3 linked regions of the Rhinolophus ferrumequinum genome follow. The protein of the gene in region 3 interacts with the protein of the main gene of each other region in a biochemical or structural test. Links are inferred from orthologs where the notes say so. Each region holds a gene or a part of one and is shown on either strand. Other genes may lie near its edges.

What was found.
Region 1: the proteins of MAPT (region 3) and SNCA form a complex in vitro, tested with the Homo sapiens proteins (3 studies listed by BioGRID and IntAct). The link is inferred for Rhinolophus ferrumequinum from reciprocal best matches to the Homo sapiens genes MAPT and SNCA.
Region 2: of the proteins of MAPT (region 3) and GSK3B, one has a biochemical effect on the other in vitro, tested with the Homo sapiens proteins (21 studies listed by BioGRID and IntAct, with this or other methods). The link is inferred for Rhinolophus ferrumequinum from reciprocal best matches to the Homo sapiens genes MAPT and GSK3B.

Annotation. Positions count from the first base shown.
Region 1 is NC_046288.1:43,470,288-43,480,233, reverse strand, and holds the start of SNCA (alpha-synuclein), read left to right. Parts: upstream 1-5,653; 5' UTR 5,654-5,727; intron 5,728-6,208; 5' UTR 6,209-6,867; exon of another isoform or gene 6,868-6,872; intron 6,873-6,879; exon of another isoform or gene 6,880-7,018; intron 7,019-7,753; exon of another isoform or gene 7,754-7,877; intron 7,878-8,358; 5' UTR 8,359-8,383; coding exon 8,384-8,504; intron 8,505-9,946. UniProt on the Homo sapiens protein: Neuronal protein that plays several roles in synaptic activity such as regulation of synaptic vesicle trafficking and subsequent neurotransmitter release.
Region 2 is NC_046285.1:45,647,022-45,657,673, forward strand, and holds the start of GSK3B (glycogen synthase kinase-3 beta), read right to left. Parts: upstream 4,294-10,652; 5' UTR 3,896-4,293; coding exon 3,808-3,895; intron 1-3,807. UniProt on the Homo sapiens protein: Constitutively active protein kinase that acts as a negative regulator in the hormonal control of glucose homeostasis, Wnt signaling and regulation of transcription factors and microtubules, by phosphorylating and inactivating glycogen synthase (GYS1 or GYS2), EIF2B, CTNNB1/beta-catenin, APC, AXIN1, DPYSL2/CRMP2, JUN, NFATC1/NFATC, MAPT/TAU and MACF1.
Region 3 is NC_046304.1:40,899,006-40,909,588, reverse strand, and holds the start of MAPT (microtubule-associated protein tau), read right to left. Parts: upstream 4,554-10,583; 5' UTR 4,310-4,553; intron 4,306-4,309; exon of another isoform or gene 4,215-4,305; intron 3,537-4,214; exon of another isoform or gene 3,431-3,536; intron 1-3,430. UniProt on the Homo sapiens protein: Promotes microtubule assembly and stability, and might be involved in the establishment and maintenance of neuronal polarity.

The sequences.
Region 1 (9,946 bases), on a different chromosome or scaffold from region 3:
CAAGAGAGAATTTTGTATGAATCAGTTTTTCCTTTTGATGATTACATTACGTGAAGATGTTTGAATGCTATTCTTTCTTTGTTATACATGTATTTGAAGACATACCTGTGAAACATCAAGTTAGATTTCCTGTAGGAATTGGAGATTTGCATATTTAATCTGATCTATTTCTGCACTTTAAATATTGATAAGGTAAAATAAAAATTCATAGCTATTTGTTCATAACTATTTAATAGCTACTACTATCAGAAAGTCATTTATGGTGAATCTGATTACTTGTAGTTTCTCCTAATCCTGACCAAAAAAAACCTGAAACAAAACAGCTTTTAATCCAACATTTTAATGGGGAAAGTTAACAGGAATTTAAACAGGAATGGACTCAAAAAAGAGTGAGAGAGACTTAAAGAAAAATCATGGTTTATCATAGAGAAGTTGATTTAAGAGGAACTGTCATGCAGGGCGGCAGGGGGGTCTCCTGTCCTGCTCTCCACAGAAGAACGCAGGACATGGTGAGGCCAAAAAGGAACACTCATGGAGCCATAGATAGGGGAGTCATACCACTATATTCTCACTGGTGGCTGGGTTAGAGACATAGGAAACAGGAGCCACACAATCCGCAACCCTCACTCCACTGCTTGCTAGCTCAGCCACCATCTTCTTGCTAGCCCCCATTTGCTCCTAGCATAGTCACAGCAGTTATATTAGTGGCCAATGGCTCATTGGTTACAGGTGATGGCCAACTAGCCATCCAATCACAGTTGATGGCCATTTACTACCTGAGCCAGCACCTTTCCACGTGAGGCCGAGAGCCTGGAAACTGCGCTCCTGGCTCTGTCCCCACAGGAACTCATGAATAATATTTAAATATTTATGAAGAATTATTAGACTGAATATATAGACAAGTTCTTGTCCCACTTTTGGGAAGATAATCAGAGAAATTTAACTCAAGTGATGTTTATAAAAATTAAAAATAGACAATTGATTAAATATATGTTACAATGTAATGTTTTATAGTAAAAATGACATCACAAATCTGTATTCATTGACATGGATAGTTTTTGATGTTAAAGTATTTATCAAATAACCATTAAGAAACAATTTCTTCTCTGAACAATTTCCCTTTCTTAATCTCAATGATAATGTGTGGTAACAAGCTATCAAAACATTAATGATATGCTTTTTAAATAGCGTGGAAGAAAATATCTAAATGCCACTGCATATGCAAATTATCTGTAGAGAAAATATATTAGACGCCTGGATAATTTTGATATTATATGGAACATGCTCCTTTTATTAGTTTCCTATGATTTCTCTCTTGGCAAAGGCATTATTTCGGTCCAAAACACTGCGCAAATCATTATAAATTCCCCTGAAATGTTTTTTTATCCATTTATTTTCTGCCTTTCTGAACACAAATGCAGTTGAGACGCAGAAGTAGATCTGTCATTGTCTTATCAGTCTGTCCGTTCTTCACTCACCTGGAACATTAGAGGCTGAGTTTATCTCTGAATTGGATATTCATTCTGAAGCCTTTTTAGAGCTGCTGTCACAAGTCTGGCAAACTTGGAACACCATTTGTTACATCATTTTATTTTGCTCCCTCGGCAAATCAACAGAATTTATACAGAGCTCTTACACTGCGCCTTTAAAGAAACCAGGCTCCAAGAATATAAAACTGTCAATAAAGATAGAGAATATTAATTCTACCACTGTCACTATATTTCTTCGGGCTACTGATGTGATCTGCTGTGAATGATGTTACTGTAATCCACATGTAGTGCAGGGGATCCTGCCGACTACGCCAAGTGTCGTGCGGGGTGTCAGGCGGGGTCTCTGGTCCCACTCCCCACACAAGAACGCAGGACATGGTGAGGCCAAACAGGAACACCCACGGAGCCATAGGTAGGGGAGTCACACCACTATACTCTCACTGGCGGCTGGGTTGGAGACACAGGAACCAGGAGCAACACAATTCTCAACCCTCACTGTGCCGCTTGCAGACTCAGCCACCATCTTCTTGCTAGCTCCCCCTTTTTTTTCTTTTTTTTGCTAGACTAGCCACCGCAGTTATATTCATAGCTAATGGCTCACTGGTTACAGCTGACGACCAACTAGCCACAGCTGCTGGCCATTTGATCACAGTCGATGGCCATTTACTACCTGAGCCACCACCTTTCTATGTGAGACCGAGAGCCTGGAAACTGCTTTTTGGGGCTCTGTCCCCACACCACATATTAGGGTGAAAAAAGAGATTTTGGGCAGATTTTATATTAACGACTCCTATCAATGCTCCTTGAATCCCCCCATACTATCTCCTCACAACTTCCATCCATGGTGGGAAATGTTTTACCTAATACCATAGTAAGCCAAAGTTATTGATGAGGAGGCATTAGAGAACTTAAGTGTGTTTAGGGTGAGATGGGAGGTTGGGGGGGGGATGGGAAAATGTTGAAAACTACTACAATGAAAAAAGTATTTCTTAAGGCACCCTAAAACATGGGGGGCTAGATAATAACTACTTGTATCGACAGATTCCACTGTGCTTTGTTCTTTACTAAAACTATATTATTTATTCTTTACAACAATCACACAAGTAAAATGTCATCCTCATTTTGTCAATAAGAAAATTAGAGATTTAGAGAGGTTAGATACTTGCTCTGGATTAGTGATACCAAGTTTAACTTGTATGCAGTTTCTCCACTCTTAGAAGTCAACCATGTTCACCAGGTTGTAGTGCGTTTCTTGAACTCATAAATATATTTCTCCTTCTAATACTTATCTCTACTTTTTCGATCCTAAAATATTTAAATATCTCTTCTGTCTGACTTTGAAGATTTTAACTTGGATTCTTGCATGTCCTCATAGCTTTAGTACCACAAAAAGCACAGGGATATTTAAAATGATATACAATTTAATTTTACATACTTTGCATGGCACTTTCCTGTGGTCACAATTTCTACATTGTTGAGGATATATTAATATTATCATATTAATAAATATGATAAACCATATTATGCTAGAATAAATGTCCATTATTTTGTGCTGCCAACAGTACTGTAACAACAACATGAAGTTGCCCCTGGTGTCAAACTAGAGAATCTTCTTTGAATGCTATACTCCCTCTTCATTGCTCTTTATATCTCTTTCGAGTAACCCTATTGCCCTGTTTCAAGCTCAGCCTCTTTCCAAAATCATACACAATGCCATCCCAACTATATGCATTAGGCTTTCCCCTCTATGCCTACTAGGAAATTACAAGGGAGCCAACCAAGATCTCACTACCTCATATTTTTCATACATTTGCATAACATGAGAGGAAGGTGCAAAGAGAAGATAAGAAACAGATTAAAATCTCTTTAATCACTCGGTCAGATTCCTCATTTTTCACATCATTTCATTGCAGCACAAGCTTACTACATGGCACACCTAAAAATCCGTGTTTAATGAGAAGACAAAGAGAGTTTAGGTTAACTATGCATTTCATAGAATGTTAATCTGTAACTAATTTACTGTATTAAACTCAAATACAACAATCCTATATAAGAGTAGCAAAATATTTAGAATTCATTTGTCAAAGAGAAAGCCAATCATGTATGATGTACACTAACAAGACGTACACATTAGTAATATTTCCCAATAGATCATTCTTCTATATCCCTTATGAGGTACAGGCCATTCAATAAGATTATTTTCAAAGTTATATTCAGAGAGTTAAAATTTTACTCAAGGCCATGCTATCAATCAATGATGAAAAAAATCTTTAGTAGCAGTCAGTTCCCTTCTTTGTTCTTGAGTAGTTCTGCCGCTTTACGAATACAGAGCTAAGAGACTACAGGTAGAACATAAATAATGTCACTATTAATATTATTAGTAATTAAAAGTTTATTGATTGCTTACTATGTTCAAGGCACTTTAAGGGGCGAAAAGAGGAGTGAAACATAAACTTGTAATTTAAAATGACAAAAAAATTGTTTTGCATTTTTGTGCGTGTGGGGGTTGTGAGGAATCATCTCCCCCTGCTGAAAATGACCAATATAGAAAAGGCAAAATGTCAAATATGAAGGCACTGTTTTATAATAACATAAATTCTCCTGGATTTCCATTGTCACATCCAAATTTAAAGGTTATTTCTAACACAGTTGGATCTCACCTTTTCCCTCCCATTTGATAACATAACCCATCTGTAAGGTTCCAGAGAGTAAATGCTAATTCTGGAGACAAATGTGCCTTCTGGAACAGTTCCTGCTAGATTATCTCAGCTCTGCTACTCAAGAACTAGATAATCTAGTTCTGTTACTGAAAATTTTTTAGCTTCAGATTCCGTCTATAAAACATACATAATGAAACTTAACTAACCCACTTGTTATGATTAAATAATATAGTACATCAGTCCTTTGCCAAGTACAATTTAAAGGTTTGGAATCATGCTGTCCTATAACAAAGACAAAAAAGTAACGACTGCTCAAAATAATTCTCTCATTGGTCTGCAGTGGGGCCGAAAATATCAGTCATTTTCTCCCCTTCAGAGGTTCCTGTTAAACTATAAATATGTCATATGAAATAATATATTAAATAATTGTCATAACAGTCTATCAAGGGACCTAGCTGTGATGGGTCACAGTGGAAAACATTTATCATTGTCAGTAATAAAAAAAAAATAATAATCAAGAGCAATAAAAAGAAACAAACTACTGATATATGCGACAACATGAATGAACTTCACACATTATGCTGAGTGAAAGGAGCCAGATATAAAAAACAACTTCATACTGTAGGATTCCATTTTTGAAATTCTTGAATATGTACAACTAAGAAGGACAGGAAGGAACTTTCTGGGGTTGTGAAACTGTTCTGTCTTCAAAATGGTGTGAGCTACATGAATGCATATGTTTTTCAAAACTAATTTGAAGACCTTAAGATTTGAGCATTTCACTGTCTATAAATTATACTTCAGTTAAAAAAAGACCATCTGAACATTATTGTTATCCATTTTTAGTTCTTATCTGTCATGGATGCATGGTGAAATATTTACAGATGAAACAGACATATGTAATTCTTGGAATTTAGTAAAAAATGCAGAAGGAGAAGTGATAAAAATTGGAAAGTGGACAGGCATACAGATGATTAGCCATAAATTGAAAAATGGTGGAAGTTGGGTGCTATTCACAAGAGAGTCTTTTATTTTCTCTACTTTTGTATATGTTTAAACATTTTCCATAATAAAAGGTCAAAAAGAGAAGTGTTATTTGGGTTAACTCCTCATTTACAAGAAAACTGAAAGAGGACAAAACTTGTAGAAAGTCTCAAAGCCAGACAACAAACCAATTTTCAAGTTTAACCTTCTTTTCTCTGACCCCAAGGAAACAACAGGAGAGTTTTGGAAAGGCTACTTTTAAAAAGGGTAGACCAGTGATGCAAGGAATTGTTTAATCAATAATGTATACTTGCTTCCTGTCCCTTTCGGTTTCAAATGGTTGTTTTGTAGATTTAAATTGCATTTTACTCAGATTTCAAACACAAGTGAGTGCAAGGGTGAAAGAACACACCCCCACAAAATAAATAAATAAATAAATAAAAACGCATCGCAAAGACTTATTTTTCCCTTCCAGTGCTAAAAATCACCCTCCCAACCAGGCAAAAAAAAAGCAAAGACATTCTGTTAGGAGGAGCTTGGATCTCCATTCGGTGTGATCCGGGAACAGCTTTTTCCCTCCAGCTCTGAAAGAGGTGAAAATGTATTGAGCAATGCAATAATTGTCTTGAAGCCTGCGCGGGTTTGTCGCGTGTTTGTGTGTCTCCGTGTGTGTGTGTGTGTGTGTTGGGAGAGGGGGGGTGTCAGCTCCGAGGACAGCGTGAATCAGGTGTCAGAAAGGTGAGTGGTGTGTAAAATCGCGGTTTCAGAAGAGATCGAAGACGAAATTGGATGTAATGGTTCAGGAGCATAAACCACGCTAGGTTTGTCTCCTGCACCAGGCACTTGAGTCTTCAAAGTAAATTCCATTTCGATGTCTAAAAGCCTTACGACCACTTGGTTTCGACGGCTAAGGAATATTTATTCCTTGTTCAGCTGATGGGAAAACCTGCGTCTGGCAGCCCCTGATTGGTGGAAAAGAAAATGGTGATAGTGGAGTGGGAAGAGGATTTGACAAGCCTTCTCCTGCCTCCTCAACCTGTAACTCTTCCTTATTTGTCTCCTCTCTACCCGCAGGGCCCTTTCGGGTACAGGCAAGGTTCAGAGCAAACGAAAATAGCGGATATTTAAGCAAAAGCACCCTTAACGTTGGGTCCTACGCTCATTAATCAAATTTCAGCGATCCGAGGGAAACGTGCTCTTGGCGGTGCCAATGTGAGCAATCTTGAGCTGTCTCCTTCAGCAGCTCCCCAAGAGCTTGGCTCTATCTTTGGTGGTTGATCCCTCAGACCCCCACGCCCCCAGGTAGGTTCTGACCTGGGGGTCCCCGTGAGGATCCAGAAGGAAAGGCAGAGACAGGGGAGGGAAAGAGGTAGAGAGATGTCAGCCAAGCTTAACGGCTCCGGATCGCCCCAAGAGTCCCTGTGACTCTGAACTTGAGGTGAAGCTCAGAACACCCCCACCTTCCCGCCTCCCAGGACCAGGCGGGCGGCAGGAGCTGAAGGTACAGCATTCCCCCCGCCCCCACCCCATCTCCTCCCCATCCAGAAGAGGAGTGAAGTGCAGGCAGCGCGGAAAGCAGCGAGAGGCAGGAGAGGGGCGGGGAGAGGCGCTGACAAATCAGCTGCGGGGGCGTTGAGCAGAAGAGGAGGAGGAGGAAAAAGAGGAGAAAGACCGCGACGACACGAACGGACCCGAGAAAGGGGGCGAGTGACCGAGCGAGCGCGGGGACGCGGGTGAGGTGTGTGCTGGTTTCAGCGCCGACCTGGGGGCCCAGCCTTGCCTTTAGCATCCTTCGTGCCTTCTCCCCGCCTTCCTTTCCATCCCTCTATCTCTTTCTCTGGGATCCTCTTGTGCGGGGTACGGGGAGTGGCTATTCGACGACAGGTTCGTGGGTTGCCTCCCATGCCCCTGGCCTCTTATCGCTGGGTTGTGCTGACAGCGGCCTCCTCTGGGGACCATCCTTCTTCTGGTGCCGCTTCGCCCCTTCCCGTGCGCTCCTTACCCACCCTTTTTCCATTTAAATAATATTTGGGAATTGTTTAAATTTTTTTTACGGGGTGTGGGGTGGTATCGTAATTCTGAGGAACAGAGGGACTCGGATAAGTACCTGTGGATCTGAATGGGCAGCTTTGGAAAGCCTGGAGAACACCTGGTGGGAGAGGAGTCATTGGCAAGGAGAGGACGCCTGGCAAGGGGGTTGGTGCTGCAGGCAGAGAGGACCCGTTCTATCTAATTTAGGAGATGGGTATGTCCCTTTGGTCGCTTGAAGAAAGTAAGTGAGTGACCAGGCTTTCCTCCAGCTTTACATACTTCCCTCGTCTTGTCCTCAGAAGCTGAGAGGTCAGGCTTCTCAGGGAATCGCTTTTCCTTTGGGAAACGCAAGGATGTTGGATGGAGCGTGAGCATCCAACTTTATTTCTCTCTTATCTTTTAACACCCCAGCACGCCCTCACGGTTCTCTCAGTACAGTAAACAACTACCTGTGTTTGGCAAATAATTAAATGGAAGTGCAGATCGGACAAGTCAACAGGTGGTAAGGGGTTAACAGGTGCGAGGCAGGGAGTAGGTTTACGCGCGCGCAGAGAACACCCCCTCCGGTGTCGGGCGAGAGTCTCTCGGCTGCCGGCGGGTGTGAACAGGCGCCTGCTCCGTGTAGATAGCTGAGGGCGGGGGTGGATGGTCCTGTGGATTAGAGCGACCGCGGGTGGGCTCTCAGAGGGCCTGAGGTTCAGCCACACCCAGGGTGAGTAGGTCTCTTCCCCGCTCTCCCTGGTCAACCTATTAGCCCTCTTCTTGGATTCATTTTAAGTGTCCTTGACCCCATGCCCCCAGCTCCCTTTCTTTCCCTGTGATCTATCTTCTAAACGTACTTCTAACTTTATACTGCCACCGTTTGGACCCTGGGAAGTTGAAAGAGGGGTCCATCTTTTCATGCACCTCCACTTTGGAAATGCAGCAAGAACAGCTGAGATGATTCATCCTAAACCATGTTTAGGCGGCTAGACTTTTACTAGCCCAGATGGATAGGGGTGCTAAATTTGTTATGGAAAAGCTGAAAGAAAAAAGAAAAAAAAAAAAGACTTCATTATCTAAGGGTACATTTAAAAGAGTCTCACCCTTTGGGGAGTTTTACTGACCTTTCAGGGGATTTTACTTTGGGTGGTTATAGTTTTGTTTTGTTTTACCCAAAAGTTCTCATTCAAAGTGCATTTTGTGTTCTCCAGTGTGGTGTAAAGGAATTCCTTAGCCATGGATGTATTCATGAAAGGACTTTCAAAGGCCAAGGAGGGAGTCGTGGCTGCTGCAGAGAAAACCAAACAGGGTGTGGCAGAAGCAGCAGGAAAGACAAAAGAGGGTGTTCTCTATGTAGGTAGGTAAGCCCCAAATGCCATTTTGGTATTTATTTATGACTGATGGGTTAGGATAATTGATGCTCTCAATGGTAGTATTTCTCACTTGATTCATTTTTTCTTCATCACTTGTCAAAAGGATAGACTGAGTCAGAGATATGTGACTGTGTATGTTTGAGCTAATAGCAAAAAGTGGGTCTAATCTTTTATTTTTCCAGATTATTGAATTTCTCAATAAAATTTAGGACTTTTTTTGTTTCTTTTTAAAAATGTTTCCATGCATAAATGACTATATTTCAGAGGATTTTTTTTAAATCAGTCTTTTAAAAAATAATCAATATTTTTAAGAATCAAAATCATTCATGGGTCCTTGACTTCTTTTATTATCCTGAATAATATTTGCTAATTTTAGGGTATTCTTTTTTTTTTTTTTTTAATAAGACCTTGAAATGGCCATGGGATACCTAAAAAGAGACCCACTATGGCCCGGAAAAGGAAAGGACAGAACCACCTTTGGGGGAGTTATTCCTGTGACCATTTGGCAAGCTAGAAACTAAGCTCAAAGGACTGCTTGAGGGCTGCTACTAATATCTCAGAAACATTTATATAGTTCATTTATCCACTGATACATATAATAAATAATGAGGTTGTTGCTTATCATTTCTACCTGTTCCTAAATTCCCACCTTGGAGTATTCATGCGGACCCTGACTCTCTTTTTCTTATCTTGAACTATTTTAGGTTGCGTGTTATTTTACAAACTTTAAATTCTTTGGGGGAAGGAATACACATATATACACAGTTATCCACAGGGACACACACACACTCAGTCACAGCCCATTCTGCCTCTCCTCTCCCCTCCTGAGTTTTTCCATATTCTCTGGTGGCCCTGGCCGGTAGCAGCAGTAGCCACAGAATGAGCAGAAAGGTGAAGGATGAACATATTGGGTGCCATGCCTATCTGTGGGGTGACAGAAACCTACACTGTCTCTCTAACAGAGATGGGCTGGAGAAAAGTTATACTTAGAATGATTTTTATGAATGCCTCTCATATTTATTTTCTCACTGTTCATAAACTCTTCAATGTGGGTTGATCTTACCACAAATCTTCAGTTAAATTACTTTCTAGATCTGAACACATATTTTTCAGAAAATCATTGAATTAAAATGTTACAAGAGAAAAAAAATCGATGAGTTAATTTTAAGTTTGTTTTGTGTGTGTGTGTGTGTGTGTGTGTGTGAAGTGTGAATTTTTAGAAGGAATTTGGAATGCTGAATCAGTGACATGAAGATAGTTAGTATCTTTATATTTGTCTCCAGTTTTCCAAGTTGTGCAAGTACATGTTTGCAACTATTCTTTGAGTTCAGTTACTTTATAACTTAGTAACTATAAAGATTCTTTTATAATGATAACATTCACTCAGTTGGTTTGTAGTGAGTCCAGAAACTACTAAATATTAAAT
Region 2 (10,652 bases), on a different chromosome or scaffold from region 3:
TACTCTTTGGTTTTAATCACCACAGGACTAAATACTGCACAATAATATGTAACTACTATTAATCATTCCTCACTTAAAAAAAAAAGTTCTAAAAGAGCTTTAATATGAGGCAATAACTTAAGTGATACTCGACTTATTTTCTTCTTTCCAAATCCTATATGTAAGCCGAGGCAATTAGCTAAATTTTCACCTATACCAAAGGATTTATTACTAATATTTTAACTAAAATCACCATAGACAGTCCTACTTTCTCTATTTTGAGTATAATATCATGTGAATTATTAGCTATTAACATTTATTTAATAACATTCATTAAATAAAAAATGTTGGCTTCACCACAGTAAATAAAAAGAAATATTTCAAATATACTGATTTAAACTTGGGGTGAATGCTTAACTCAACAAAAAAGGTAAAAACTACTTGTTACAAAATCAACTTTTAGTTTCTGCTTGAAGCTTTCATGAATCCAGAAAAGGCTGCTATTATTATTACTACCATTATTTTAAATGCAAGGTTTACCTGAGAATAATCATTATTTATGCAAAAACTTTTTAAGTTGTACCAAAGCTTCAAGGCTATGTAAAATATCTGAAATTTCTAAGTCACAGTTTAGGTCACAGCAAAAAAATATTTTCATTGTTATCATATACATAACCATGGAACTATTACAAGTAGATTTCAAGTGTGAGGCTTTTATGTGAATCTAAATAAAAAATTATGTTCTTCTTTAAGACTTTAATGGAAAGCATTTAAATAAAAACTTAGTTTACTACTCCCAAAAATAAATCCAACATTTTTAGGTGCAGAAAAATTAGAAACTGCAATTTTAATAGGCTGGAACCAACTGATGTCTGCTGAATTTCAAGGGAATCTATTGTATATTAAATTTTTAAAAAGTGAACTCATCTACCCTCTCATCTCGGCACTTTCTCAACCTTCCCATTACAATCAACAATATAACTTGGCGGTCAAGTCTTCCAGACCAATAACATCAGAATTTATTTTTAACTCCTGACTCCTTCCCAAATATTCCCCTTCAATCCAATCCAAAATCCTGCCACTTCTTCACTCACACTATTTTCTCAAATGTGTTCTTTTCATCCCATTTTCACATTTTACTTTATATTCCCTCAGGATTCACAACATACCCTACAATCTCCTTAAAAGGGCTCTAATGTCTCTACTCTAATCCATCAACTCAGCTACCCAAATCATCTACAAAATCTTGTTAAACAATCTACAGTAAATTCCAATCTCTCTTGAATCTCAACCAAACTCTTACAGACCCCTTCTACCCCCACCAGCTAATATGAACACATTTCTCAAATTCCATCACTTCTTATTTTCCAATTTAGGACCCTTTAATTCAAATTTACCTACTTGCTTAGTAAGTACAAAAATCATTTACATGTCATACAAAAATCACCATTTTCTGTATCTCTGTCCATTCCTTCCATCTAGAATCCTTTATACTTCTCTGTCAATTGAAGTTACCGCCTCCTTTAACACCTGTCTTAAAACACACCTCTGCAGGAAGTCTTCCCTCTCCAACCCATCTGCCTCACCCCATTTATTGTTTGTCCCTCTGAAAAAAGCATTATATTTGTATTTATACACTTACAGTCATCACCATATTGTTTTCATCTTTTGTCTTTATAACCTGCCTCTACAACTAAATCATAAGCTATTGAGGCCACGGACTACAATTTCTCATGTATCTCTTCTGAACAGGGGTCCCTTAGAACACTAGCACTCTAACCAATGTTCAGCAATTCCCTTCTAAAATGTCCTTAAAGTCAATGTTGTCAAAAACAATTAGCACTGAACTCCAGCTTTTTTAATGTTAAGTTGACCTATATGGTAACAGATAATTAAACATTTTAACCTACACACTTTATAAGGGGTTCCCCTATTAGCCAACATCCACACTATCGAGAATTAAAGAGTCTTGTTCAAACAAAATCCTGGAAACAAAATGAAAAGTCCAAAAATTTAACATCGTAAGCTATTCTACTTGGCTCTCTAAAACAGATTTAATAAATTAATTACCGAAAATTGATTTTGAGTGGTTTTTAAACTATATTACCAAGATGAAAAGCAAACACTCCACTACCACAAGAGGCTCTTAAGTAGCTATTACAAAATTTGCTTCATCATAGCTGAAAATTACCCCAGAATTTTAAAATATTCCTTTCAAATGACCCCAGTGCTTAGAAAGCCTGATCCTTCCCTGAAAGATGCATCATCAGCTTCCCTCTTCACATACCCTGCATTCTGTACAAGCCAGTCACCAAAAAAAAAAAAAAATTAACTTTCAAAAATAATCTTCCATTCAGCTATTACCTTAGACTACCCTATTTCTGGCAAGTTCCAAAGGCCAACATGACTTGAAAGCCTGAGTTCAATTAAAATCATTTTATGTTGCTTAAAGATATAATCAATTTCACGTACCAGCATATACTTTAAAAAAAAAAAAATCTCAGTTCTTCATTCTCTCCTTCTTCTAGGCAACAAACTAGTTTTTCGTTACCCTAATCATGCCCCTTTCCTCAGGAATAAGAACATAAAGCTATATTTTTGTTAAATTCTGCACATATGTTTAAATAAACTGTCATTAAATAGCACATAAACATAACCACAAATAGAGATACATTGGAACATTGGACACTTAGTATACTAACACCTCAAGAACACAGACTTTTCAGTATAAATCTGGGATAAGAATACAGTCTAGCAACATCCCTGAACACAGCCCAAATTTCCCTATTTTATCCAGGATCACAGCCTTCTGCAAAACCTATGATGGAAAGATCTACATCTTATAACTAAATCCACAGTTTTATCTAAATGTGACAGGAAACCAATGCAAGAGTATTTTAAATAGTCCTAAGAAGGGACCCCTGAACTCTTCATGTAACAAGTACTGAATGCAAAGGCCACCCCAAAATTGAACTTAAATGATGGAGTCAATAACAATTAACATCAACATTGAACTTCATATTTGGCAACGTGACAATACAAACCTCAATCAAAACTTGGACCAAGTTATCTTTTGATTAAACATAATTACATAGTGGTAGATTGGTAATGTCAAAACGGGAAGATTAAGAGAACACGTTAAACCACTTATCCAATTTAAAACAATGCATGTAGACACACTACTGCTACTGTGTATCAGTTCCCACCCGCCCCTTGTAAACGGAACGATCAATGCTCGCCTCCCAACGCTAATGCTGGTTACTGAGCAAGTTGATTTCCGGATTAAGAACAAATACTTTGTATCGTTAAGCAAGAAAGAAATGTTAGGAGACTGTGACACTCAGTCTCTCTGTTAAGTATACAAAACTATGACAACCTCTGAGACCTGAGCTAACTAAAATATCCCTCATTCCAAAAGACATACACTGAGCGAACGTACATAATGGTTTATGAATCAAGCCTTGCCCTTCTCTTTATCCAAAAGGATGAGCAAGTAAACACTTCCATCACTATTTTAACGTGGAAATACTTAAGCACTGGATGAAGCTGACTATCAACAGCAAGGAAAGTATAAAAAATTAGGCGCAAACCAAATCATCCAAATAAAAAGCATATTCTCTCAATTCAAGGTTAATGAGACCGGGGGAGGGAGTATGGGAGGAGAAAAGAGGGAGCTGCCTCATCCTTGACTGAAGACAGGTTTTTGCCTTTTTCCATTCCCCCTGATTGCTGTATCAGGAGGTCTAAGATTTGAAGATCCTGGTATTTCAAGGTGTGTTATTCTAAGGGTGAGGTGGCGAAGGGGTGTAAAATAAAATCAATACTCACTGCTAACTTTCATGCTGCCAAAAGCTGAAGGCTGCTGCACTGGCTTGCAGCTCTCCGCAAAGGAGGTGGTTCTCGGCCGGCCTGACATGATTGCTCTCTTTCTGAATCACCTTTTCCTTCCGAATTACCTTCTTTTCCCTCCTTCCTCGTTTTCTTCCTTTTGTTTTATGTTGGGGTGTTAGGTTAATGATAAATGCAGCATTAAGTTCTCCCACAAGAAAAAGAAAAAGACTTTGTCCTCTTGGCTTTTCACTCCTTTTGTATAGCTATAAAACAACGAGCGATGTATTTCTCCTTCAAGACAGATCAGTCTGGATATTTAACATATAGATGATTTGGGGCTGGGAAAAAAATACAATTCTTTCTCCTCCCTTTCCTTGGAGGGGAGGAGAGAGGAGGGGAGAAATCCTAAAAATATATATATATCACGCGAAACAGGGGTAAATACTTGATTGAAAATAAGTACTTTGAATATTGTATTTTCCTCGGGGATTTTTTTTCCGAGTCAATGAAGAAGGGAAGCGGCGGAAGGATCACGAGTCTCACGCTTGAAAAGAAGGGGGATGGGAAGGAGGGAGGGAGAGGGAGGGGGTGGCTCGGAGATGCGACGGAAAACGCTGCGGCTCCGGCAGCGGCGGGATCCGGCGGGCTGACGGCGGGGGCTCGGCAAACTGGAGGGCGGCGGAGTCGCGAGTCAGTCAGAGGCGGGCGGTGGCGGCGGCTCCTCTCCTCATTGCGCCAGGAGCAGCTGCAGGCGGCGGCTGGATCCAGCGGCCATGGCGGCGGCGGTGGCAGAGGCAGCTCCCTTCAGACCCCAAGCAGCGGCTCCTTGACTGCTCCCCATACGCCGGGGACATGGGAACCCAGCAACTGCTTCCGTCCCTCGGGGCCCCCTCCCCCGTCCACGGCACCAGCGCGGTCGCCCTCCCGCCCCTCGCCTCTGCTCGGTGCCTACTCAAGAAGTGTCCGCGCTTTGCCCCCAGCCCGGAGCCCTGTCAGCGGCTGTGGGGCCGACTCCTCCTTGCTTCCTTCCTTCCTTCCTTTGTCACTGGGGCCGGACGACGGCGGCGGCGGCGGCGACGGCAGCACAAACCCGCATTCGCCCGGGTCAGGGGCTGCTCTGTGTGAGGAGAACCGTCTGCGCAGCCGCCTAGCTCTTCCCCACTCCCTCTCCCCCCTCCTACTCGTCCTCCGCCTCCTTCCTCCCCCACCCAGCCTTACACCACCCAGCGCCCCGCCGCCCGCGTAACAGGAGTCTGGGAATCGCCGGACGAGCCCTGCGCCCGCCGCTTCTGCTAAAGGACCGAAGCCTGAGCGTAGCCAATCACAGACGTCGTATGTTTGCGGCTCCTCCCGGAAAAAGCCGATGGACCTAAGGACCCAATTAGAATGTGCCGCTGGAAATCCACGCCCAAAGTCCGAAAAATGCCGAAGATACCCGAACCAGAAAAAGGTGGGTTCGTCTTGTTTTGTGGCTGGCTAGAGAAATTCGACAGTGGCAATAGTGGCCAATCAGAGTCGCCGGCCCTCACGAAACCGCCTGAAGAGTTAAGGGCAGTGAAACTCCGAGTCGCGGGTGAAACAGCACGGCTGGGCTCCGTGGCTGCTTTGTAATTGGCCAAAAACTCCGCTGGGAGTGCACCTCCCTTGGTGATTGGTGAAAGGAAGGGGGCTTCCGAGGACAGTCTGGCCAGTCACAACGTCTCCTCCCTCGCCAAGGAGGGGAGAAGAAAGCAAAGGGAGGGCGTCTATAAAGCGCCTTCTCATTGGCCTGAAGCTTTGGAGCTAGAGTTGGGGCAAAAGGGAAAAGGAGGGAGGCCGAAACCCTAGCGATAGCCAATCGGCACTCACTGCCTTCCAATCGCAAGACCTAGCTGCAATGTGATTGGCCTCCGACCTCCGGCGGCGGTCCCAGGAGCCAGAAGAAGCTCGACTGGGGTCGTGGCGGCGGCTCTCAGACCATGTGGAAACCGCAAATAGGGAGCGCGGGCCCTCTACACAGCGGGTCCGAAACTGCTGCGGTCGGCTGGGCTGAGCTCGGAGCGCTCAGGCGAGCAGAGGGCTTAGGGGCTCTCCCCACCGACTACAGGCTCTAGGCGGGGCGCGGCTAATTCTGCGCCTCCGAGACTCCCTTCTGCCCAGGCTAGCGCGTCCCGAGTACCAGCGTCTTCCCCGCAAGGGCCAGATGGATCCAGGCGCCTCCCCGGCGGGGTGCGAGCTCACAGACGCTAGAGTGGGAACAAAGCTTTCAGAGAGGCAGCGCCACGCCCAGCCGTGGGGGCCATTGATTAGAAAGAGGGAGACTGTGCCTGGTGCGCGCGGCCAGGCCGGCCTTCTGGAAACGCCCCCTGAGAAATGAGCTCATGCTGGATGCGCGCGCGCTCCTTGGGCGCGACTGCCCAGCGCAAAACGGGCCCAAAAATCAGGTGAAGGGAAATGCCATCAGGCCGGATATCCTGAAGCCTCCGAGGAAATGGGGAGTCAGAATAGCCCTTAGTAGCTTTTGGTCCTTTGGAACTAGGGTGATCTATGAAAGTATTATTTAAGTAGGTTTCACATAGAGCCGGGTGTTGTTCTGCAGAAAACCACTTCCTTTGGTTTGCTTGAGGACAGTGAGGTATGACTACGTCAGGATAGCAGAAAAAGTAGAATGGACAGTTGCTATCCTGATTGTAATTTCCACCTGAAGAGTCATCTCTTTCTGTTAAAATACTATCTCCAGAAAGCACATGTAAAAATACCTATGGCTAATCAAATTATGTAGCTATTGCTTTGACATACTGATGAGGGACTTAGGGCAAAACAAACTAAGCTTTGATGGTAGGCAAAAAAGGTCTAGGTAGGGTTTGCAGACAGGTCTACAGGGGTCAGAAAAGTAAAGCATATGAGTAAGACTGGCCTGGTGGAAGACAATGAGGAATGATAAGGAATGTGGCAAACTGGAGTGTCCATGCTGTAACTGAAGGGAGCAGCTGTTCAGATCTAGCAGATTGTTGGCCTCAGGAATGTAGGTCCAGTGTTCTGAGAGATTCTGTGTTTTTTTCCCTCTCCCAAGAGAAACCCTAATTTGTGTAAAATATCTCTATTTTTAAATGTTAGCAACCAGTATTTCAAAACCCTGAAGGCCAAACTAAACATCCTGGGGTAAATGTGGCCAACATGCAATCAATTTGTAATTTCAAACCTGAGCATGGGTTTTGTAGCCCCAGAGCAGTAGAGGCTCTTGTTCTTTGCAATTAAGTGAGAATATGAGATCTCTGGATGTCATGGAGGAGAGTAAAGAATGTTAAAAGCAAACTCAGTGCATGGCAACTTTGCCAATGAATGTTGCCTCTACATGCAAACTATTGTTAATGAATGACCTTTGTCACTAGTCCCTAAAAATGCTGTGAGGCGCTTTACGTCCTGCCTCCCTCTGGACTCCCCATCCATACTCCCAATTCTACCAGCGGGAAAGGGAATAACATGTTTAGGTTATACAAATTGGAAACATGGCTATTCTTTTGTATATAATAAAGTACAAAAATAGTCTAAGACTGATTATTGTTGGTGCCTTCAAATAGTTTGAACTGATGCTGTTTAAAAAAAATAAATTTGACCAAGTCATGGGGAATTTTTATAGGAAAAAAAGTGTTTCAATCCAGAATTAGGACTTGAAGAAGTTTATGAGAAAATACAGAACTGATGAAATTAACATTCAGTGTTTGTTTCTCTGAATTTTCAAACACTTTACCTTCCAACCTGCTGTTAACCACTTACTAGTTTGTAATAATTTTAATAGGTAATATTTGCTGAGTGTTTACAATATGCCAGACACTGGTCTTAAGTGCTTCACACATACTATCTCAAATTTATAATAATCTTATGACGTAAGTAGTGTTATCACCTCTGCTTTTCAGATGAAGAAACTGAGGGCCAGGAAGGTTTACTAACTTGCTAGGTCCACAGAGCTAAAGTAGAACCAGGATTCAGATTCACTGTTCTAATACACACTTCTCTCTCTCAAGCAGTCCCCACCTCTCCTGGTATGTCTTGCTTTATCTTAAAGTCTAAGCCTTATGTCTTGAACTGTTTGTGCCTGGTTGTGAACATATCCCCTAGTTTGGTTTATAACAGTTTGGTTTCCTCCAGGGCTTATTAGATTTCCCTTGCAGAGATAAGTGATTCTGAGCCACAGTAACAAACCAAAGGACTAGGGAAAGATAAAGGTAGGAAAGCTGGGTGGGACACAACAGGTTAAGTAGTGTAGTAGAAAAAAAAAAGAAAGGTTAGTGAGTGTGCCCACAAAAGAATAATTATAAATTAAAATGCACAATGAACAGGCTTATGTAGTAATAAGAAGTACAGGCATACCTTGGCGATATAGCAGGTTCAGTTCCAGATCATGGCAATAAAGTGAGTCGTAATCTTTTTGCTGGTTGTAGGGTTTTGCCTTCAATTTGTTAAAAAACATCTGTGAAGCACAGTAAAGCGTAGTGCAATAAAATGAGGTATGCCTGTATTTGTATAGCACTTTGCACTTAGAAAATACTATATGTTTAGGAAGTACTATTATTAAATTATTAATGTTTTTACAAATGAGGAAACTACACACTTGAATAAGTGACTTGTTCAAAATCACTTAGCTCAAGTTTTAGTTGCAACTAGAAGAAAATATAAGCACATTTAATAAGGAAGATAGCAAAGAGAATATAAGATGCTGTTTATTTAGGTGAACCCAGAGTCAACCATTTCAAACAGAAGTAAATGAGCAAACCCCTCCTAGGACCTCATTTACATAGCCAATATATGTTAAACACCTGAATGTTGTTGGATGCTGCTCTTCAAAATTTATATGATATGGTCTCTGCTCCAGGTACTTGTAGTCAGATACTATGAGATAGAAAAGAGTTATTTAGTAATGAACCCTAGGAAAGGTATTTAGTAATGAACCCTAGGAAAGCCCTCCAATCAAGGTCAAAGTGAAGATTAAGAGGTAGGAAAAATAAATTTACATTTATTGAGTGCCTGTTCAATCCTTCCCAAAACCCCAAGAGAGACATTACTAGCTCTTTTTGTAATAGATGAGGGGGATGAGCAATAAATATATTGCTCAAGGTCATGAAATTAGTAAATGGCAGAGTTGGTATGGGATTTATACCTCAGTCAATTTGAATTCAGCTTTCTACTAGATCACTCTGCCCTCCATCAAAAAGTACCATTGTTTATCCTGTTTATATAAAATTATATATATATATGAGGTCTGACAATCAAGTTCATGAACTTGTTGCAACGATGTTGCTAACCTTTTTTGATATCAGAGGGATTATTCATTATAAATTTGTACCAACTGGACAAACAACCAAGTTTCCTATTTGGAAGTGCTGAAAAGGCTGTGTAAAAAAGACAAAAACGACTTGAACTTTTCACCAACAATTCATGGCTCTTGCCATGACACGATAATGCACCAGCTCACACGGCACTGTCTGTGAGGGAGTTTTTAGTCAGTAAACAAACAGTAACTGTATTGGAACATCCTTCCTACTCACCTAATCTGGCCTCCATTGACTTCTTTCTTTACCCGAAGATAAAATATTGAAAGGAAGAAATTTTGATGACATTCAGGACATCAAGAGTAATATGATGACATTGACAGCCATTCCAGAAATAGAGTTCCAGAATTGCTTTGAAGGGTGGACTAGACACTGGCGTCAGTGCATAGCTTCCCAAGGGTAATGCTTTGAAGGTGACCATAGTGATATTCAGCAATGAGGTATGGAGAACTTTTTCTAGGATGAGTACGCAAACTTAATTGTCCGACCTCAGTGAGCTAGAGGTAGTTTGAAATTATGTACCATATAAAATATGGACCTAGAGAAAATAAAGGAAGACAGTATTGGCTAACAGAGGTGTGGTTAAGTAAATTATGTTATATTAAATCCATATTATGCAACCAGTAAAAATAATAAATACAAAGACTCATAGCAACTCAGAAACAATACTAACTGAATAATATAGAACTTCAGATTATATATTTCCAAATCTGTAAAATATATATACATTTGGATCAAGATTGAAAAGGAATACAGAAATTAGAATAGTTTTCTTAATATATTGGCATATTTAATTATAGATGAAAATATTCACCTTAAATGTTTTTAATATTTCTGCAATAAATTTCTGTTTGTTTGGTTTTAAAGGACATTGCCCCCAAAATAACTCATTTTTTCACTGTGGTTCACACACTCCTCAGAAAGCTTCTGATTACATGGAATTTTTAAAAACTCCAAATTTCTCAGCAGTGCTTTCCAACTAACATTTTTACTGATAACCCTTTGCAATATGAGTTAAATTAATAAAACTAGCAATATTTATTGAGTACATACTATATGCAAGACATCTATCTGATATAAAGTAGTACACGAACAGCTCTGTGCCCTTGGGGAGCTCATCCTTTGGGGAAATAACGATATGAAAAGTTAAATAATTATTTAAAGTCACATTTTGAATCCACAAAAAAGTTGTGAGGCAGAACAAATTTGCTAATATGATTGTACTCATACTCAAATGAATTGCTCATACTGTCCTATTTACAATGGGTGGGTAGAGGACATTTTAAAGTGGATCTTAAATAGATGAAGAAAGGAGAGGAAGCAAATTATTTTCCACCACTTCATTTCTAACCCATCATACACACCCCCACCCCCTTCTAAACTCTTAAGTGGGTGGAGCTGTCAAAGGAATTAAGAACCATGTGAGTCTGTTGTATAACTTCAGGAAAACCAGTTTGGCTAGAAAAAAAGCTGATAGAGGAGACCAATGGAAGATAAGGTTTAAAAAGTAATGTGTGGCCAGATTTGACAGAG
Region 3 (10,583 bases):
GAGAAAGTGAAGGTGTGGGGGCAGGGCGGGGAGGACAGGGAGGAGCACCGAGGGGCACCGGCAACTTTTGGAGTGTCATTTGGATACAGAGTTAGGGACAAACTGAATTGGATTTGTCCCCAAACCTTCCTGATACCATGGCCTTGAGTAAAGCCCTCCTCCCATTCTGCTTTTTCTTCTCTACCTTTTGACCTGCATTTTCTCATTTTATCCGGTTGTTAAATGAATATGGGTCAAAACACCTATTGTATGCCTGGCACTGTATTAAGCCCCTACGGGTGTTTTTATTTGTTTTTGAGTGATTCTTTTTCGAAGTGGGAGCGGGGAAGATACTAATTAACTGAATAGAAGGCACAATCTAATTGGAAAACTACCATGTGTTCTATTAGAAAATTAACACCTGTTCATACACACAGCTACGGAGCAACTCAAACCATACACACAAATGCTGAAGGAACACAATTTCTTAAAATTTTCAACAAATGGGCTTCATGACCTTCATGAAGTTCATTAAAAGGGCAGAAGGAAAATTCAACCTAAACGAAAGGCACCACAATCCTGTTATATCTCCAGGTTGGCACTGACCTCAAAGGGCATGTGGGCCAAAGGGCATGTTCAATAAACGGAACTCTTTTCCACATGGAATAAATCTGACCCTTCCTCTAGGAAACCAATTCTACGTTTTCCTCTTGCAATTTGTGGGAATAATCCATTTCTTTTGTTCCTGTCAGGAGCGGTGCCTGATACTAGAAACCACGTAAAAGCCACACCGTTCTATGATGGGTGTGTGCAGACCAAGTCCGGTTGGAGTTAGGGATGGACACACAGTCATGGACTGTCACTCATCCAAAAAACAGCAAAGCCAACAAACCTCTCCCCCAAATTGTCCAAAGGCGAATCCCAAAGAGTCAAGCCAGGTCATTGCAGAAAACCAACCAGAAGCAAATAAATGTCTGTCAAGGAATTGATTAGCTTCAATATTCACTCTGGACTGGGCACCGGGAGGGACGTTTATTTTATTAATATTTATTCGTTCAGAGGAAGGGTTTGGAGAGGGGAAAACGGATTAACAATTCTTATGTGGTAAACATAAGCAGCATCACAAAACGAAAAATAATCCCTTAATTAATTATGACAGGAAAGGCATTTCTCGTTCTTTCGGAGGACGGGTCACATGGAGGGAAAGGGATCTGATAAAAATTCAAAGCCCTCCTGCTGAGCCTGAGCGCGCACGTAGGCCTGGCAGTCGCTGTCTCAGGTGCCGTCCTCCATCCCAACTCGCACCAGCCCAAGACCCGGGCTTGGAGTTAGAGGTTCCTGTGCGCCGAAGGCCAAGTGGGGTCTCCCGGGATGTAAAAGTGCCCCGACCTGCTGGGGATTCCGAGACAGGACGTTTCCGGCTGGCTCAGCGCTCCACAGTCGGAGCGTGTGCACAGACGCTGCATCCCTCCACATCTTGGGGGGTTGTCGTTTAGTTACAGCGCGCGCAGAGCCAGGGATGGAGTTTCCTGATCGGGTATGAAGGACCATTCTCTGGCCGCCGGGATTCCTCCATTCACAGCCCCCAGACCTTGCAAACCCGAGAACTCCACCAAGCCACCTACAGATCCCAAAATGGAGCGAAATCGCAAACGCGTGCACGGCGCTTTGTTCCAGGTATTGGGCTAAATGCGCTCGCCCCCGCCGGGTTCCCTTTCCCCCAAGCGACAGGAGGTGACACCCGCCTGTGGTCTGCCCCAGGCCGCGGGCTCCCAGTTCCATGGCCGCCCCTCGCCCCTCACTCTGTCTGGAACCAGAATCCCATGTTCAGCTCGGGAGGAGGGTGGCTAGAGGGGAAAAGATGCTGGAATCGACCCTTGAGCCTGTCCAGCAACCTGCCGGTGGCGAGCCCAGCTCTGCGGAGGCGGGGAGTGGGGCGGGAAGGGAGGGGAGAGCAGAGCCGCGGCTCTGACCTGACAGCCACAGCCGGGAAGGTTTGGCCAGGCCCGGGGGAAGACTCTCGACTCCGAGCCGAGCCATTCCCCGGATATTCAGATCAATCTGCGCGGCTTGCGTGGATGATTCGGCCCCTAAAATGCTCGTCCCTCTCAGAACAGCGCCCTCGCGCCAGTTTTCAGCGATGTAATTAACCAGAAAGACGCGCGGACCCGGGCCGTTACAGAAGGGCAAGGCTCGGCCTTGTTCGCCAGGGGTCGGTACCCCACTCCTCTCCCCTCGTTCCCTTTTCCAAGGGCCGCAGTGAATTCGGGTTCCTAAGTGATAAGTGATATTCGGCCACAAGAATAATAATACACCAGGGACGCCTGTCTGGGAGCCGATGGCCGCGGGAAGCCAATTAGGAAGAGCCAACGGCTCCAGTTTGTGGGTTTCCCTACGGAGCCCCCAGAGGGGGCACGGCTCTTGGTACCCGGGAGTTCTAATTCTCCGATCGGAAGGGGCGGGGCAACGCCCCAAAGGCTGTTCTCAAGACGCGTGTTGTTTCCAAGGCAACACCTCCCCTAACGACCCCCTCCCAGTCGGCTCCGGAAAAATGGGTGTGGCCCGCAGCAACCGGGGAAACCTCTTGCCCCCTCCTCACTTTCTCCCGCCTGGCCAGGCAACAGGGAGTGAAGCGGGGAGGGGATCCCGCTTGCGTGCCCCCTCCTACCGCCCCCTCGGGTGCCCCTCCGGGGGCAGCCTGGTGGGGTATGGGACCCAGGACACTCGGGGCATGGGGAGGGGCGTTGTCCCTCCGCTGACACCCGCACAGCGCAAGGAGACCCGGAATCCCACCCCTGCGGCCCCGCGGATGCTTCCTGGCGGGCGGCCTGGCTCTGATAGTGGGCCGGGCAGGGTCAAGCCGGTTCCACGCGTACCTCCGAGGCCGTGACTCGAGTTCATCGACTCCAGCAAGCCCCGAAATCTAACAAAGGGCTCAGAAATGAGGGGCGAAACACGGGAGAAGGGGCGGGGGGGGCCTTGGTTAAACACCCTTATAAAATAAAAGGCAAAAACCCAGGCTGGCAACGCTGATCACGTTAGCCCTACAAACAAAGCAGCGAGCCACCAGGAAAATCTCGAGGGAACGCCCCCAAAGCTCAAGCCCTCAGCAGCAAAACGCCACGATTTCAGCGCTGAATGCACCCTCCACCCACCCTTAATGACAGTCCCCGCCTTGCCCTTCGAAGCCCGGCCACCCGGCTTGGTGTGGTACCGTAAAGACATGGCACGCCGCAAAAAGATGGCACCTCGCGATCGGAGGGGGAAAAAAAGCGGGGGTGGGAGTGGGAGGAGGCACAGCCTACCCTCCCCCTCCTCGCCCACCCGGGTCCACACCCACTGCCGCAGTGAGGGGCGAGCCCTGCGCGCCAGCCCCGCGCCTCCGGCAGGGAGCGCACACGCCGGACGCCGGGCGCAGAGCGCAGAGAAAGGGGACCGCCCCGAAGTGCACCTGCAGCCTCTGTGCCGATCTGTGAGGGGCTGGGGCTGTGAGCGCCCGCGAGGCAGGATCCGCGGGGCCGAGTCCCTCCACAGAGCAAGGCCAGGTGACCCCTGTCTTTCGAGCCTCCACATCTCTCCGCGCACTGCCTTCTCTCGGGCACAGCGCTGCTCGCGTCTCGGTGCCAGGCGCGCGCAGGGGGAAGGGCAACTAAAGTGACAGCGCCTGGACCCCTCCCCAACTCCCCGATTCCACTCCCAGCCCCCAAATGTCCCCTGCGGGTTTCTGAAGGAGGAAAACGGGGAGGGAGGTGGGCCACCGCCTTAAATCAGGGACAGCGAAAAGCCCCATTGGAATTGCTGCCGAGGAGGTGAAGGGAGGGGCAGGCAGGGAGTCATCTTTTCTAGAACCCAATCCATACCTTCCTTAGGGCTGATGGCAAACCGAGACAGAGAAATCGGATTCCAGATCGATTTCGGGGGTCGTCATTGGACGCCCCCGGACACACACTTAGACACACGCCCATTGCGGCAAAAGGCGGCGATTGAGAGTGTATAGCAGCCCCCTCCCCCAGGTCACCGCCACCCGCGCCCCACCCTGCGGGCACCTCTGCCCGGGTCCGCGCGAAGCGGGTCTTGTGGAACCCCAGCACACACACGCACACACACACACATACACACTCACACGCGTGTGTGCATCTCTTGCATGGGTGCGTTTCCAAGCCACCCCAGGCCCAGCCCCGGAGCACCGAGGGCGCAAGGAGGGGCCCCCGCCGTTGCCCCCGACCAATGCTCACCTCAGGAAATCCATCTCTGAGGCAGGGGGCGAGGGGCGGCAACATGGGGGCGCAGGAGGCGGACGGGGAGGCACCTTTCGGAGCCTCGCGCTTACCTGATAGTCGACAGAGAGCGAGGGCAGAAGAGGAAAGCAGAGGATAAAGTGTCTGGTGGCGGCGGCAGAAGGTGGGCGGTGGCGGCGGTGCTGCTGCTGGTGCCGGAGCTGGTGGGTGACGGAGACTGCGAGCGCGCGCACCAGCGAGGGCGCGCTCCCGAGACCGGCGGGCGGCGCAGGCGCGAGCAGCGGGAACGCGAGTCTTCCCTGAGGAGGGGCGGGCGGCGAGGCCTCCGCAGGCGTCTTCTCCTCCGGCCACTAGTGGGCGCGCGCGAGCGCCTCACGGCTCGCTGTCCCCAGCCTCCTGGCTCGCTGCTCCCGGCGCTTCCCTTCCCTGTCTTTCCTCCCCCCACGACTCGGGCCGCGGCACGGACTGCCACGCGCACGCGCGCTCCGTGGCGCACGCGTGCTCTGGGTCACCTCTGGCGGCTGGACCCTTTGTCTGGTCTGAAGGGTCTTCTCCCTCGGGAGGGAGGCTTGGTTTCCTACTGTGGTTGGAAGAGGCTGCGGTGCTCCGCTTCCAGATCTGCTGCCCTTTTCCTTTTTGTCCCGGGAGTGATGTCCTATCTCAGAACGTCCTGGGCGGGTTTCCACATGACCGCTCCCCAGAGGGTCCACCCCAGTCCTCCAAGTTTGGCCGGCTTATCGCTACCGGGCACCCTGACCCTCCTTTGAGTCTCCGGAAATGGTCCCCCTTGTTGGAGATCAGTTTCCCTGGGCCTGCTTCCTTTCAACCTGCTTTTTTTCCATCTTTTTTGTTATTGATCAAGGTGAATGCTTTCCTTCGCCAATCCTCATCAAACAGGCTAATTCAGTTGTAAGAGTAGTGTTGTGGTGTTTTTTTTTTTTAACAAGGACCATTTCCATCTATTTTTTAACGGTGTCCGAGAATAAAATCTTAGACAAAGGTCCAAATGGCGGCGCTAATCACATTGCAAAGCATTTTCACACATACAGTTATTTTGATCTTGTTTCTTGACACACGGTTATACTGTAAGTAGAGTTTGAGATCGGAAGTGCTAAGTGCTCATGGAGATTCTCACCTAGATAACACACTGAAACTGACCAGAAGTTTTCATTCTCCTGGTCACCCAGTTCCCAGCATTGGCCTGTGAAGAAAGAGATGACATGCCCAAAATGGAGTCACTTGTGCTATGCCACTTCACCAAAACGAAAACTATTAATAAATACCTCATTGCAGTTTCAGCCTCTCCCAGGAGTGGAATTTTAAACCACCAATCAGTCTGGAATTTCCTGATCAACACTAGTGAGAGGTAATCTGCCTAATAAGACCCTTTCCGCCCTTCCCTCAAAGAAAAGTGCCCTTGGCTGAAAAGATCCTTTCTTTCCTTTTGGTAATAACTTTCTTGTCCTGCCCACTGCCAGCCTATAAAAACCTACCAACTTCTCAGGGCTCCTTTCTACTTGGCTGGATGGGATGCTGCCTGATGTATGCATTGCTCAAGAAAGCCAATTAGATCTTTAAAATCTACTCCATTGAATTTGGTTCTTGAACGGATCTTAGCTTGGTCTCCCCAACATCTAATGTAAGCCCTGGCAGTGGGAGGCTTTATAAGTATGGGAGTTTGGTGGGGGGCATCTTGTCCTAGGGAGATGGGAACTTGTTTTGAAGCTTTAATTTGCATGGCTCTTACATTTATATTTTTTAAATCAATATTTTTTGTTATAGATTAATACAAAAAGCAGGCTATTAAAAATTTTTTATTGACGGGGAAGCACTGGGTGGATGCTAGAGATGGGGCACATTTCTTAAACGACTCGTTCTGAATCTCTGGTGACCTTTTTGTTGTCCCAACTCTCATGGTCCTCGTTAAAGACTCTTACCTTGGCACTGGACATGTAGTGACCTTACCGGTCTCCCTGCTCTCTGTTTCTCCCTGTATCAGCCCACCTTGAACCCCCTAATCAGACAAATCTTCAGAAGCAATCGTTTTAATCACGACACTCTCTTGCTCAAAAATATCTAAAGGCTTCTAACTGACCCCTAAGTGAAGTGAAACTTCTTAGCCTTAAATTCCTCAGCATTCAAACCCTCTGTCCCTCCCCACCCCCTCATCTGAGCCCCTGTCCTCTCCAGTTTTCTCTTTCATCTACTCTATGACCAACTTAGCTTGTTTGATTGGAACTCTTCCCCACCTCAACTCGGGGGTTTTCCTCTGCTTACAAAGTCCTTGCTCTTTCTCCATGCACCAAATATCCTATTTAACCTTCAAACCCTCGCTCAAATGTTCTAAAGCCTTGTAATCACCCCAGCTGGAAGGGATATCTCCTCTAGGAAGGCTTAGCAAAGTTACTCATCTCTGAAGTGAAGGGGAGAGAGGAATTAATATCAGTCTTGCAAGACTGCAGCTTCATTATTGCTGCCAATTGTGTCCTTTCTCCTTTTCCTGTATGGGGATTATCTGTCCTTTCCTGTTACCCTGTGATCTGTACTGCTCCCACTCTCCACTCCCAGACCACTCATATTTGGTCTGGCCACGTGGTGGTCTGTGGCAACTAGAACTAAGGGGCATGATGTAGACATGTCCAACGAAAAGCTTTAAGAGGCATTGTGAGTTTCTACCACTTTTACTTGTCCCCTGCACCACCGCGATGGTCCCCTCCACCACCAGAATGGCATGCCCTGTGGGGCTGCTCCTTCAGCATAGGTCCCAGAATGAACAGACACAAGGAAGTACATATAACATGTATAGTAACATGAGCAAGAAATAGACATTTACAGGGTGAGTCACTGAGATTCTGAGGGATGTTTGTTATCACAGCAAAACTACAGTTTAATCCCCATTATATATATTATATATATATTAAACTGTATGTATATATATATATTTTATACACAGTATGTGTGTGTAAAGTTTCTCATGTAAAGTACCTGACAAATAGTGGACATCCATTAAATGATAACTAGCAGTTATTTCAGCATCCCCATCAGTGCTTTGGCTATACATTCTTTCTATATGTAAAATAAACTGTAGCAGTCAAATTAACACTCCTCCCATTCAATTTTCTCGTTTTCTTTCCTTTAAGAACTGACTGGGACCCGATAACACAGTGATCTCCTGATACTGAATGAACACATTTGCCTACATTCAATTGAGGTAATGAATGCTAGAAACCATCTTAAGCAGATCCATCATTTAACTGTATGTAATGTGGAGCTGAGTGTTCATTCCAGATAATTTAATCACTGGAGGTAGCTAATGGCTCTCTAGGTCAAGAAAATGCATCCTCTCCCTTTCTCCCTGCCCCTCCCTCTTGCTGAAATAGAGATCTGGCCAATTCAGCACGCAAGGCCCATCACAAAGAAGCATAGAAGGTAGAATCGCACAGGGAAAGAGAACTGGATTAGGTTTCAAAAGAGTTGGGTCCCAATCTTAGCTGTGCTGTGTGATCTTTGACAAATTCATTAACTTCTCTGGGCTCCCATTTTTTTATGTAGCAGTGTCCCAGGTAGGATTGGAACTAAGAGTCCGATACCTATAGAATTTATAAAAGTCCAAACAGGAAAAGAATACATGGATCTAGGAACCAAGGAGTGGAAGCTGAAGTGGTCCCACTTCCCAACATTCCCAGGTGACCCCAGGGGGGAATCTGAGCTTCCCATCCTCACTAGTGTAGGCTCTGCAGGGATAGAGGTCCCCCAAAGGGGAAGCTTCCACCAGGGGACACAGCAAAGGTTTCACTGAACTATAAGCGATGGCTGCTGCCTGAGCACTTTGGGTCCAGAGAGCAGCAGGCAAGAACAGAAGGTACTGTCCTGGCAGGAATAACCGACTTCAATCATCCGCAGGAAGTAGGACTGCTACCAAAACACGGGGAGGATACATTTGTCACTTGGGCACCTCTTGGTATTCCCTTTTGTTAAAAGACAGAAACGTCCACCCTAGCCTGAGAAAGTGTTTTAGTTTCCTGTTGTTGTTGTAACAATGACCCCAAACTTAGTGACTTAAAACAAAGTAAACTCCTTGCCTTCCAATTCTGGAAGTCAGAAGTCCAAAATGAGTCTCATCAAGCAAACCTCATGGGGTGTTGGCAGGACTGCCGTCCTCTTGGAGGTGCAGAGGAAGAGTCTGTTTCCTTGGCTTTTCCAGCTTCTGGGTGCTGCCCTGTTCCTTGGTGGGTGGTCCCCAGCCAGCAATCACATCCCTCCAACCTCTGCTTCTGTTGTCACATCTTCTCTGACTGGGACACTCCTGCCTCCCTGTTTCACTTACAATCCTTGTGATTATACTGGGCCCACCCAAATAATCCAGGATAATCTCCTCATTTCAAGATTCTTAATTTCATCACAGCTTCAAATCCATTTTGCCATATAAGGTAATTTATTCATATGTTCCAAGGGTCAGGACATGAGCATCTTTGATCAGGGCATTACTCTGCTTACCACAGAAGGACATGGTGACTATGGCACCGACCCCTCAGGGAAGAAGATGTCTACGGTAACCCCATATCTAATGGCTGACCGACCCAGGTGGGCAGATAAATGTTCAACCTGGGGCAACTCTGATGGTCCATTTTGGGTTCTGAGATCCCCAGGTGGTTCGCTGAGGCTGGTTGGGCCTGTATCACAGCTTGACTTCTCCTTTTGCACAATCCTGCTTCCTTCCTCTCCCTTCCACAGCTATCGATCCCAAGGGTACTGCCTAAATATCTCGCATGCTGGACTCTGTCTCAGAATCTGCTTCCCAGAGAACCTTGCCTGCATCTTCATGAATGCATTAAATAATAAAATCTAGCAGTGGGTTTAATTACTTTCCCAATTTCAAATAGGGGTAAGTATAAATGACATTTTGAAATATCTCTGACACATGTACCGTGCAAAGAAAATATCTATTAGTGATGAAGTCACAGATACTGTTAATACTACATTGATTACTGAAATGCTAAATTCCAATACAGGTTATAAAAATAAAGGTGAACTTTTTTGTCTCCAAGTTTCTGGACCCTCAGGTTAACAGCCTTTATCTTCTTTTTCTATGTAGTGAGGATTTAATAAGTCCATTAAATTGAATGAAATAAAGGTTACAATGAGGTGAAATGAGCATTTCCTTAATTCTGGGTCAATTCGTTTTATATTCAGTTCTGTGTGACAAAAATGCGAAGCAGCTGTGGTCTAAACAAGACTCAATTGTATTTCTCCAGGAATAGGAGTCAAGGGCTGTTTTAGAAACTCTAAGACCTTCTTGGAGCCCATATCTGTTTATTTCATTTCTGTATCATCCTTCGCTTGCTGTCTCATTAGTCCAAAGTGGCTGCTTCAGCTCCAGACAACACATCCCCAGAAATAAGGAAGAGATAAAAAAGGGAGCATCTCTATCTTTTAAGGACAATTCCTATAAATCACACTTGTTACTCTTGCTAACACCCTATTGGCCAGAATATGTGCATGGCTACACATTGTTGCCACCGAGGCTGGGAAATGTAGTCTTTATTACAGAGGGCCTTGTGATCAGCTACTTGTAAATACCAGATACAGGGGGAGAAGGAGATGTGGAGTATTAGCCACAATTATGCTAAGAAGCCATCTCCCTTAGCAGTTCCTCCTAGCTATGCACGAGCAGCACATTCTTTCCCTTTGAAATATTTTCCTGAAAATACTTTTCATGATAAGGCATTTTCTAGTGAGACAGATGACAGCCTTGAAGACCAACATTTCTTTATTTTCAGTTACAAAGTCAGAGATCCAGATTCCCAGCCTGTTTAGACAGCCCCAAATGTATTTGTTTTGCCTAATTGTGGGCTAGGTATGGTGCTTTGATGAGACACCTACTGTCCTCTCTCAAAGCCAACATAGAGAAATACCAATATAATGCAATTAAATTAGGAAGTGAGTATTAACATTACAGACAAATGCTTTGCTAGACAAAAGGAACCATCACCAGGTTTCCTTAAATGTCAGTTACCCTGTTACAACTGAAATGTGAGTTGATTTACATGCAAGTTTATAAACACCTTAATTATATAAAGTAAGACAGATCTATGCCTTAATTTCTCTAGACTTCTCTTTCATAATTATTCTTTAGGCTCAAGTGTTCCTTTCTGTCTTTATATTTCCTGAATGCCTCCTGCCTACCTCTCCTTCCCTCCATTGCCAGGGCAATGCCAACCCCCTTGTCTAGATTCCCTGGGTTCTGGCAAGAAGCAGGATGAAATGCCAACCGGGGTTTCGGTTACACATGACTCAGCAACACGGCATTCTTGTCAGAAAGGCCAGGATGATCCTGGGCCCAGAAATAGGAGCAGGCATAATAGG